Caenorhabditis elegans: one gene and its partners. The protein of the gene in region 3 purifies or fractionates together with the protein of the main gene of each other region. This does not show direct contact. Each region holds a gene or a part of one and is shown on either strand. Other genes may lie near its edges.

Region 1 (3,393 bases), 5.2 Mb from region 3:
ACATTCATCATCGAATCGTTTCAATTCTCCATTTGTTAGTCGAAATAACTACAACAACAATTCTGAAACAACTGAAGGATCTTCTCGTCGTTCCGAATATAATTCTTCGTCTTCCAATCATCATTCCCGTTCGTCATATCGTGGCAATCGAGATGATCGAGGCTCTCGATGGTAAAGCCGCCATCAATATTATATATGCATTTTCCTTCTAAAACCGTTCAATCTTCAAATATTTCCCTTAACCTTCCAGTATTCCAAATCAGCTTGTGCGAAATTTTAAGAAAATTTCTCGAAAAATCTAAATCTCCTTCGCTTTCAAACATCAAATTTAGTTTCTGTGTGTTAGTATATCCTAGCGTTTCATATCTAAGATAACAATTCTCAATTATCTCTTTTTAGTTAGCAATAAAATAATGCCATTGTTGTTTGACTTTAATTGTTGAATCTCTCGTTCTGTTTAAACGAATATTCCATGTGTGTTGTGTTTTATAATATTTTATTGCTTCTATCGTTCTCCAAAGTCTCGATTCAAAAATCCATGTTTCTAAATACGGAAGTGAAACTAAAACTGTTAAATCTAAAATTTTCGAATCAATATAAGTACATTTATTTACAGAAACAAAAAATTACAATTTCAACATATAAAATTACAAAAATCAACAAGAAAACGATATAATTTTAATACATTTCTTTTTCAAATGGATCATCAATCTTGACACTAAAATCCATTGATCGGTTCAAAAAATCGCGGAATTGTTCGATTAAACTGTCACGGCGACGACTTCCGATAGATTCCATGTGACAATCCATTGATGTATCAGATGCTGAAAATTTTTATAATATCAATAACTTTAGAGGGGAAAATTACCTGAAATATATTACCGAGACGCAAAACCTTACGATTTTTACACCAAACTAAGGCGTCCGGTCTCGAAACGACAAACATTTGTTCAATTCGAAAAGGTGTGCGACTTTAAAGAGTATTGTAGTTAGAAACTTGTGTTTCTGCGGAATTTTCATTGATTTTTCTATTTTGTTGAAATTTAATTGTAAAACATATTTTCTTTTGTTGACAATCTACAGTACTCTTCAAAGGTACACACCATTCACAAACATTTGTCGTATCGAGACCGGGCACTGTATTTTTGACAAAAATCTGGGTAAATTCTCAGGGTTAATACAGCAATTAATCAACATATAGTTTTCATTTAAAAAAGAACAAACCATCACTGAAACGTCGCTCCCTTTCATCGTCACCACCAATCTTCTTCAAATCCATAAAATCTTTGGTCGATTTGTCCATTCTTCTAGTTCTTCTCAACAATCAAATGAATTATCAATCAAATTGTTCGTCTTTTCCTTTTTATATTATTCTTTTTTTAGCGGGTACCTAACCATCTAAACAATCAAAAATGGGTGGAGAAGGTCGATTGACACACGTGATTATATCTTCTACATGCTTTTTCTTATCTATTTGATATTAATAAGGTAACATTTATGGTAAACACTTACGAATGCAACACAGTGTATCGCATTTCTGCTCGTGGAGCAATAACATGGAATAGGTTTTTCTTGAATATTCTAATACAGGTGCTATTTTGAAAATGTGTATAAAAGCCAATATTTTAACTAACATGTTCCGTCATGTGAAGTGGTAATCGGCAGTCCCCCTAGTGAACAATTTTCAGACGGAATAATATCGATCCAAAAGACATCGCCACATGTTCTCCTCTCCTCTTCCGGTAACTAGTCACTGAGACAATCTATAAATCTGTAAATGTACACTGTCTATCATGTACCATTTAGTGTACTGGATATAACCTAAACTAATGTCCAAATCTATAATGGTTCAATTCTCACAGCTATGACGAGTTCTTGACGACATGACGTCATCACTGACAATTAAAGATAGTTCCCTTCGTTCGGGTTGACTATCGTCGGAGATGTGGACGAGCGCCTAATCTTCTCTCTGAGCTGTTTTTTTATTTAGAGAACAATCAACAACAAAAATAATTTAAGTTAACAAAAAATAAATATAGCGTCTTATGTGCGAGTCTCTGCCAATTTCTTTTGCTTAGCATGATGCTTGTGCTTTTTCCCATCGATATGTTTCTGCCTGAAAAAATTCATTTCGAAATTATAATATGTATTGAAACAAACCAATTATCTTTTCCAGTCATTGAAATATTACAGATTTCACAATTCAGCAGAATATTTGCATCGGACCCTTTTAGAATTGGATTGGTGTCTGTGGAGATCTGTAGAAATTTTAATTTGTGATTCGGAAATTTTAGAATTTGTGAAATTTTACATCTTCAAATAGATCGATTCCATTCATCCATTGATCAACAATGTCCATTCCATCACTAATTATTCGGTACTTGTCAGATGTATCCAGCATTTTTGTACTTGCCATTTTCTGAAAATTATTTTTAAAGTGAAGTAGAGTGAATTAATTAAAATAGAAAAATGTTTTTTTTTAATTTTCTGGTCGTCACTTTATGACTTTAATTCAAAATTTCAATTTTTTTGATTAGTTTTACTATAATTTTCAGCCATTTTCAGCCAATAACTTTGTTAATTTAGTAAAAAAGTTCTTTAAAAATTCAATTTTTTTAAAATCAACATACCCGATCACCATCCGACCGTTTTAAAAGTCTCGATCGATACCACCGTCTCTGGCGCCGTGCATATTGTCGAGTGTGAAGCTTCACATCATCGCATCTGAAAATAGCTTGGAATTTATAAAAATTGAAAATAAATTTAAATTACCCTTGCTTGAACAATTTATCCCCATTGAGTGTATCTCTTTCTGATGGGTCCAAATTGAGCCATGGAACGAATTCTTTAAGACCAATACATTGCATGACACCATATTTGCTGTGATTTATGTACTCGGCGTGCTGAAAATTTAGTTTATAGAGTATAGTAAAAATCACAATGAAATAATGCCTCAGTAAGCTAAAATAAATACACGAACATTTTCTGAACAGTTTTCAAAAGTTTAAACTTTTTTGGAAAATAGTAAAGAATGAAAAAAAAACAAAATAATAAAAAATTTTCTTTTTTTTTCTGGAAAAATTCAAATATTTACCTCGTTATAAAACTCGATCAATTCATTCTTCAAACCCAATTTAATCATTTTATCAACTCTTCCATCAAGTCTTTCTTCTAAAACTTCAGGTGTTGCATCCATAAAAATAACTAAAGAATTATCAAATCGTAGTCGTCCACCCAAATCAACAGTTTCATCTGATTTCTGTTTTTCAACAAGTTCACTTTTTCGGATTCCTGCAAAAAACTTTACTTGATTTGTTTTTAATCTGGAAATTTGCAAATCAATTACCAGTTTCTCTGAAAATTTGCAATGCTCTCTGTACTCGATAACGATTA
Region 2 (3,666 bases), on a different chromosome or scaffold from region 3:
AGAAGAGTCTATAAAATCCAGGAATAATTTTTTTAAAAGGACAAGATAAATAATTTGATTCTACTTTAATGTTGTCCAGAGAAAAATCAAAAAAGTACGAGAATATTCACCTGTTTTTTGGTTTTTTTTTTCTATATCTCTCTTTTCAAACAAACAAACATTGAATCAAATTGGAAGAAAAAAATGTAAAAAAATAAGTTGGTAGCTGGAGATTGAGTGTGTAACCAGTAGACATGTGAGCAGTTATGAATTAATGATTGCGGCTCGTTTTCGGATTGAACTCTTTTCGAAAATAAACAGCCGTTTTATTGCTTGTTAGTGCTTTATTCATTGGTTGATAATCAAAAAAGAGTAACACGAGAGCGTGAGAAAAATATACCTTAAAAAAGGAATCAATGACTTCAATCTTTTTCGTCTTATTTCTTCATTCCAGAACTCTTTTTGCTCTTTTTTACTCGATTTCTCAATTTCCCGCCCTCAAAATCACGCGAGCACAAGATGTCGGTGTCTGCAGCACCAGGGTTTAATTTTAGAAGAAGAATTTATGTTTGTTCTGTCTTTCTCAAATGCCATAAAGTATCCATAAATACATTTGATGTCACATTTGACATTTTGCAAACTTTGGGAAGTTTTAATTTTCATTTTTGAAACGGTTTAAAAATATCTGAAACATTCAAAAAAGAAAGAAAGACGCAATGTATCTACACGTAAGAATGTTTATCATCATCCTCTTCGTCAATTTTCTGCTCTTTTCGTGTTCGTCGTTCACGTGGTGGAGTTTTAAAAAGAGGCGGAGCAAGTGCATCTGAAAACTCAGATACTGAAATTGGCTCGGTATCTGGAATTGGAGATTCATCACGAGGATTTGCCTGGGGTGGAGCACGAGGGCTCGAGTAATATCCAGAAGTTGATCCTTCGCGGTTATCTTCTCTGAAAAAAAATCATTTCTTTATGATAACACTTTATAAGAAAAACTCTAAAAACTTGAATTGAACTTACGGTCTATCTGAAGGTGGTGAAATTGTTAAATAGTTGGGGTCATTGTAGTAGTAGTGGTCTTCTGTAAAGTTTAAAATTGATATGAATATTTAATAGCAACAAGTTATTAAGTTCTTGAGGTGCCCCAACGAGATGCCTCAAGATGTAATGTCGACTTTCTAAAAACTAAAGCACAATATGTAATCATAAGGGGATGTGATTGATAAGTACGATATTAGCCCCCATCACGTTTAGATCTAAAATTTAAATTCATTATTTTTTATCAAAAAATATTCTGGCTCAACTTATATTTAGATACAACTAGTTTGAGAATTATCGTGATTTTCCACATTCCAATGTATATGTTCCCATGCTTCCAATTTTGCATTATACTGACTCACTCTCTGCAGTTTCCGATGTTGTTTTGAGAAATTTCCAAGGTTTTACTTTCAATTTTTCAGAAAAAAACTGATTAACTGTCTTTTATGATCCGATAAAAAAAATCAGTAGAGTAGATATTCTTAACTCATACACCCACCACTTCATGTAATCATTGTCGTGTCACAACCAAATCTTGGCAATATCCCAGCCGTCCCCACTCATTTTACGGGATTCTTCCTTTTATACATCAATCTCTGCATTTTCCTTCTTTTCCTCAATCCTCTTCGCTGTTTTTTTCCATATTGCCAATTTTTAAATCTTCCTATCTATTCGTACGTACAATTCTAGTAAAAATATAGCTCTATTCACATTCTCACAAAGTGCTAGATATGTTGAATGTATTTTTGGTTGTTTTGTAGATGAATGAGAATGAATTTATTTGGAGATTCGTATGACAGAAAAGAGAGCAGCAATGCCAGTAGCTCCGTTGGCTTTCACCATTTTTTATGTTTGTTCTTGTTTCTTCGAGAAACGATGATTTTTCTCTCAATTTTTTGGCACGTTCTGACCCTTGAGCATTCCATTTTTTAAATGAGCTGAAAAGGTTTTCAGAAGGCATGGTACGGTGGAAGAAGCCCAAACGATTTCTATGTCGAAAAACTCAAGATTATGAAAGGATTGATGATATAGAAAATAATGATGAAGATTCAGATGATGATGTTATTTTGGAAATAAATCATGACGGGGAACATGAAGATAACTACAGAAATCCCATGATCAGGTACGTATGTAGTTATACTTTTTAAAATATATTTATTGCAGAATGGCATACATACCAATTGTAATAATAGCAGTAATCTATTCATCGTTCATATTTTTCTTCGCTCTATTCATTGAAGCTTCAGCCCACACAAAGTTGGTCCCTATAGTCTTTTTTAGTTTCAATATTGAATTCGATGTTAACAGTTTTCAGCTCAAAATGCAGCGAGGCACATGAAAAGGAAAAAATGTCATCAGGTCTTCTTACACCGCCTATGAAACATATATTAGAAGATCGTACCAAATATAAGAGTGAGTATTCATTTTTATAATATAAAACTGTTAACCAGAATTTTCAGATGAGATAAAACTATTGAAGACGTTTAATGTGCATCTCACTTATTCGACATGGATCAATTCAATTCTTGAAATTCTTGCTCTCATCTACTCATTTCTGTTGCTTTTAGTCGATAGACAGTACCTTTATCCGCTGTCACAAGTAATTCTTTACCTATTCACTCGAATCAATTTCGTTTATACGGATATTTATGGAAGATTCTTCAGTCCGTCAGACGTTGTGGGAGCAATCACAACCGAAGTTATATATGACTTGATTAGGTGGCAGAGCGAATCTAAACTATTTAAAGTGTTCCCTTTCACACCTTGTCCGCTACCATTGTTGTTATTTCCGATTTTCCTATCAATTCTTCAAGTGTTTGCAAATCAGAAGCACACACATGTTTATGAAAGTGAAAGGCTAATGCGAAAGCAAATTAGAGAAAAATATATTCGTGATGGTCCATTGAAATATTACAGGAATATAATTTTGTGATTTCTAGTAACTTTGTTAGTTTCATATAATTGCAATTTTACAATACAATACAATTGTTTTTCTTTTAACTTTTGTAATCAATACAACTTTAAAAACTACTGTATTTAATATTTAATTTAAATAATTAAATTGATTACGGTATGTTTATTTGTGCATAATTACGTGAGCGTGTTTGCGACTGACGCGTCGCGTGCTGCATCGCGGCTTCATTTTGCGAGATTTTTTTGTGTTTTCTCTTGATTTTTTGTTTTAATTGCATTAGTTCAAGCTGTTTTATTGATATTTTTTAGGATAATGACAAGATTTGCTGGCAGACGTCCATTCATTCTCTCGTACCAAGTACTTCGAAGCGGAATCGCGTCTTTTCAGAGTAAGCCATCGCAACTTATTTGTATTTGTAAAGTATCACACCATGGACATTCGGGTGGGCATTCTCATTTCGAAAAAATCCCTTTTGTTTGCATATAAGAATGCACAGTCAAAAATTGTTTTCATGTGGCTACTGCATCTAGTAGATAAGATAGAAATTTAAAATAATATCACATTTTATGTGTTTTGCCCGTTTTTTGATGGGATGATTGTTTCATTTAAAAGATCAACAATTATCTAGATATACCAGCCACTTATTTTAAACACTAATAAGTTTTCACACAAAAAGGTATTTCGTGGAACGAAAATTCTCAGTCTCGTGGTGTGCCTTTACATCTTGTTTTTCA
Region 3 (3,759 bases):
GAATTTTGAAACTTTTAGAAAAAAAAAGTCGAAAATTCCAGGTTTTTCCAGATTTTTGGCAAAATTTTCAAGATTTTACTAATAAATTTCGGTATTTTTGACATTTTCTCAGGAATATTTAAACATTTTCTAAAATTTTGGGCATTTTTCCGAATTTCTAGCAATTTTTAAGATTTTAATGAATTTTCGTGAGTTTTTCGGGTTTTTCATCAATTTTTTGACCATTTTTCTTCAATTTCTCCGCTACCTGAACAATAAGCGGTAAATCCTTGGCTGCTGGCTGTACAGCCGCCTCGTAGAGCTCCAATTTGAGCATTTTCAGCTCATTTAGAGCTTTTCTCTGCGATTCGATGGCTCCACGAATCCACGCGTCATCCTCCTGCTGCAAAGCCAACCGGGAGCGTGTATAATCCTGAAAATCCACGGATTTGAAGCGAAATTCTCAGATTTTTACCTTCAGAGCGATGGCTCGTTCGTCAATTTGCTCCAAGGTGAGCTCGGTGCGTGGGCGGCGGCGTTCTCTGTAAGAATTCCGAGTTTTTAGGCAGAAAATCGCTGAAAAACCCGATATTTTTCGCGGATTTCACGTCCAAAGTGAGCTCATCCACTGGTTTCGGCTTTTTCGAGTGCTTTTGCATCTGACGAATATCCTTTTCCAGCCGTTTTCTGCGTCGGGTCTCTCGCTGCTTTGCTACCTGGAAAATTTTTGAATTTTTTCTCAATTTTTATTAAATTTCCCGTTTTATTCAATGAGTAACTGTAATTTTCTCTACCTCCGGATCAATTTTCTTCTGTCTTTTCATAAAAACCGAGGAGCCGGCGGGAATTGTTTGATGAATTTGGCGGGTTTGAAGTAGGGAGAGCCGGGAGAGGCTCGCAAGCAGGCTGGAGCTCATTTTACCTGGAAAAATTGGAATTTGAAGTGATTTTACATCAAAATCATCAAAATTCTGAAGAAAATAGTCGAAAAAACCAAGGAAACCTCCTAAAAATCAACAAAAACAATAAAAATTTAATAAAATAAATTCCCAAACGACACTCCGCTATCCCACCCCCACGCGTTGTTCACCGTAAATCTACACAAGCTCCGTCTCTCACTTCCCCACACTCTCTCGTCGTCCCTAATCGATTTTCGGACAATTTTCCGCGTTTTTATTGACAATTTTTGAGTTTTAATAAGGATTTGGCAGCTAAAACACTATGGAAACCATTTTCGAAGACGAGGAGACCATGATGGCTGCTGAGCAGAGTTCTTCAGGGATTTCTGCCAATTGTGAGTTTTTTATCAAATTTTTATTAAAATTCAGGTTTTTTTTCAAATAAAATCGAATTTTTTTTCAGCAAATAGCAACTGTAGTGCATCGAAAACCGAAAAAGCGTCGAAAAAACCGAAAAACGCCATTCCAAAAGTCAAAAACTCTGGAATTCACAAGAAACCCGCCAAATCGGACTTTGACGAGTTTCTGAGCAGCATGAAGAGCCGATTATCTCAAGCTACCAGTATGAAAAGCGTACGTTTTTTAGAAAAATAAAATTTCCAACCTAAAAGCCGATTTTTTACAGAATAAAGAGCAACTCAAGATGTTAGAGGAGACGCAGAAGCTTATTTTCGATAGAATCACAAAGTCAGCCGATGCGCGGGATATGGAACATTTGGAGAAGCAAATGAATAAACTTTAAATGTGCTTTCTTTATTTTATTTTTTTTTTAATTTTGTGGCAAAAATCCATGTAAATTTGTGAAATTATGTATCAATCGCTGTCGAAATAAATTATGTATTTTTTTTTTATCATGTATTATTCAAATTTTAGAAGAAAATTGAGCGAAAAACTGCAAAAAAACCGCAATAAATAGCCGAAATAAATTGTAAAATCAAAGGCGCATGACATTTCCCGTCTGTTGGGTCTCGCAGCGCGCGTCTGACGACGCTCCGAATGCCGCCGAAAACATTGTTTATCCTTTTCTTTTTCTCTCCCGCTCTCTCGTTTTTGCATGCTCTCTCGTCTTCGCTTTCGAATTTAAATGGAAAAATGCAAAGAAATTAACGAAATAAATTGAAAAATGTTATTTTTCAGCTAAAAAATGATGAAAAACGATGAGCAGGACGATGTGGACGTGGTGAATGTGCCGACAAATATCGATTTTCAGTGCAATTTATGCGAATACGTCGGGAAATCCGATCGAAGTCTCAGTGCACACAAAAGACACAGACATCCACGGCCAGAAGGTCAGGAAGATGATAAAAAACCAAGGGTAAGGCGGATATTTCAAGATTCTGATTGAAAAACGAAAAAAAATTTAATTTTTTCCAGGGCCGACCGAAAAAATACGAAGATTCTCCGGTTCCACTGCAACGAGTCACCACAAAACAGCTTCTCGGCGGTCGAAAACGTCCGAAAACGATAGTGGAATGTGTGGATGATTCGGCAATAAGTAATAAATCTTTTAAAAAATCTGTGAAAAAACGATTTTTTGCTTCCAGGAACCGATAAAGAAGCTTCTCGCCTTCACGGACTCGGAATTATTGACGAAGAGACTTCCCTTGGGGATTATGTTCGCCGTGGAGCCAATTATCAGCTGATGGGCGGCTCGGACATGAATTTAGACGGAAATTCCATGATTGTCGGCCAAGAAGTGGTTATTGATCATGAGGAAGACGAGGAAAATGACGATAGTCCTATGTTGGATTCGGTAAATCGAGGAAAATTTGTAAATTTCGAGAAAAATTTTCGTGAAAATTGAGCCAAAACTGATGAAAATGGACGAGAATATATATTTAGCATACCCAAAAATGGTCTGCTAAATATTTAGCAGACCCAACTTTGGACTGCTAATTATTTAGCAGACCCAACTTTGGTCTGCTAATTATTTAGCATACCCAACTTTGGTCTGCTAATTATTTAGCATACCCAACTTTGGTCTGCTAATTATTTAGCATACCCAAAAATGGTCTGCTAATTATTTAGCATACCCAACTTTGGTCTGCTAATTATTTAGCATACCCAACTTTGGTCTGTTAAATATTTTGCAAACCCAAAAATGGTCTGCTAATTATTTAGCATACCCAAAAATGGTCTGCTAATTATTTAGCATACCCAAAAATGGTCTGCTAATTATTTAGCAGACCCAAAAATGGTCTGCTAATTATTTAGCAGACCCAAAAATGATCTGTTAAAAATATTTAAATAATTATGTAATTACATTTTAACCCAGAAAAGCCCGAAAAATACGTAAAAAACCGCGAAAAACTCAAATTTCACCTCAAAAACCTGCTAATTCCTTCAGTTTTTCCAGAAATTTGTTCAAAACCGGACTCGAACTGCATTCCGCCGGTACCCGAACGATCGTCTACCGGACAGACTTACCATTGGAGATGCCAACGGAAAATATAAGTGCTATATGCCGGATTGTCTGTGGAAAGGCGGCTATCGATCACTTCGTATGGATCATATGAAAGCGATTCACCCCGAATGGAAAATGCCTTCAAGGTGCTGGAAAAATCTATGATTAACTAGAAAAATCGTGATTTTCGGCAAAATTCGACCTTAAAATCGTGAAAAATGACCTAAAATTGCTATTTTTAGTCGAAAATTGAAGGAAAATGGCAATTTTAACCAAATGTCCCGTCAAAAAATCGAAAATTTCGAATTTTTTGCGAATTTTCACTTTAAAACTCGATTTTTTACAGATTCCTGCTGGAAAGAATCTCGAAAGACGGAAAATACGTAAATCCGGAAGAGCATGTGCCTCAATACGCTT

The links.
Region 1: the proteins of attf-3 (region 3) and ZC395.5 fractionate together in Caenorhabditis elegans (co-fractionation; one large-scale study listed by BioGRID). This does not show direct contact.
Region 2: the proteins of attf-3 (region 3) and T28D9.16 fractionate together in Caenorhabditis elegans (co-fractionation; one large-scale study listed by BioGRID). This does not show direct contact.

The regions. Positions count from the first base shown.
Region 1 is NC_003281.10:5,265,781-5,269,173, reverse strand, and holds ZC395.5 (Ovule protein), read right to left. Parts: upstream 1,327-3,393; 5' UTR 1,304-1,326; coding exon 1,225-1,303; intron 825-1,224; coding exon 679-824; 3' UTR 593-678; downstream 1-592. Other genes in the region: ztf-8 (C2H2-type domain-containing protein), read left to right, coding at 1-175; gro-1 (C2H2-type domain-containing protein), read right to left, coding at 2,044-2,116, 2,161-2,258, 2,312-2,419, 2,631-2,724, 2,773-2,903, 3,095-3,291, 3,347-3,393.
Region 2 is NC_003280.10:6,473,715-6,477,380, forward strand, and holds T28D9.16 (uncharacterized protein), read left to right. Parts: upstream 1-1,972; 5' UTR 1,973-1,976; coding exon 1,977-2,140; intron 2,141-2,181; coding exon 2,182-2,274; intron 2,275-2,332; coding exon 2,333-2,430; intron 2,431-2,477; coding exon 2,478-2,950; 3' UTR 2,951-3,010; downstream 3,011-3,666. Other genes in the region: Degenerin-like protein del-10, read right to left, coding at 702-930, 1,000-1,060; T28D9.4 (uncharacterized protein), read left to right, coding at 3,245-3,320.
Region 3 is NC_003281.10:84,701-88,459, reverse strand, and holds the start of attf-3 (C2H2-type domain-containing protein), read left to right. Parts: upstream 1-2,075; 5' UTR 2,076-2,082; coding exon 2,083-2,253; intron 2,254-2,312; coding exon 2,313-2,433; intron 2,434-2,482; coding exon 2,483-2,691; intron 2,692-3,294; coding exon 3,295-3,488; intron 3,489-3,688; coding exon 3,689-3,759. Other genes in the region: mrpl-40 (Large ribosomal subunit protein mL40), read right to left, coding at 248-412, 455-521, 565-695, 774-896; F54C4.4 (NAM-associated domain-containing protein), read left to right, coding at 1,201-1,273, 1,342-1,511, 1,564-1,680.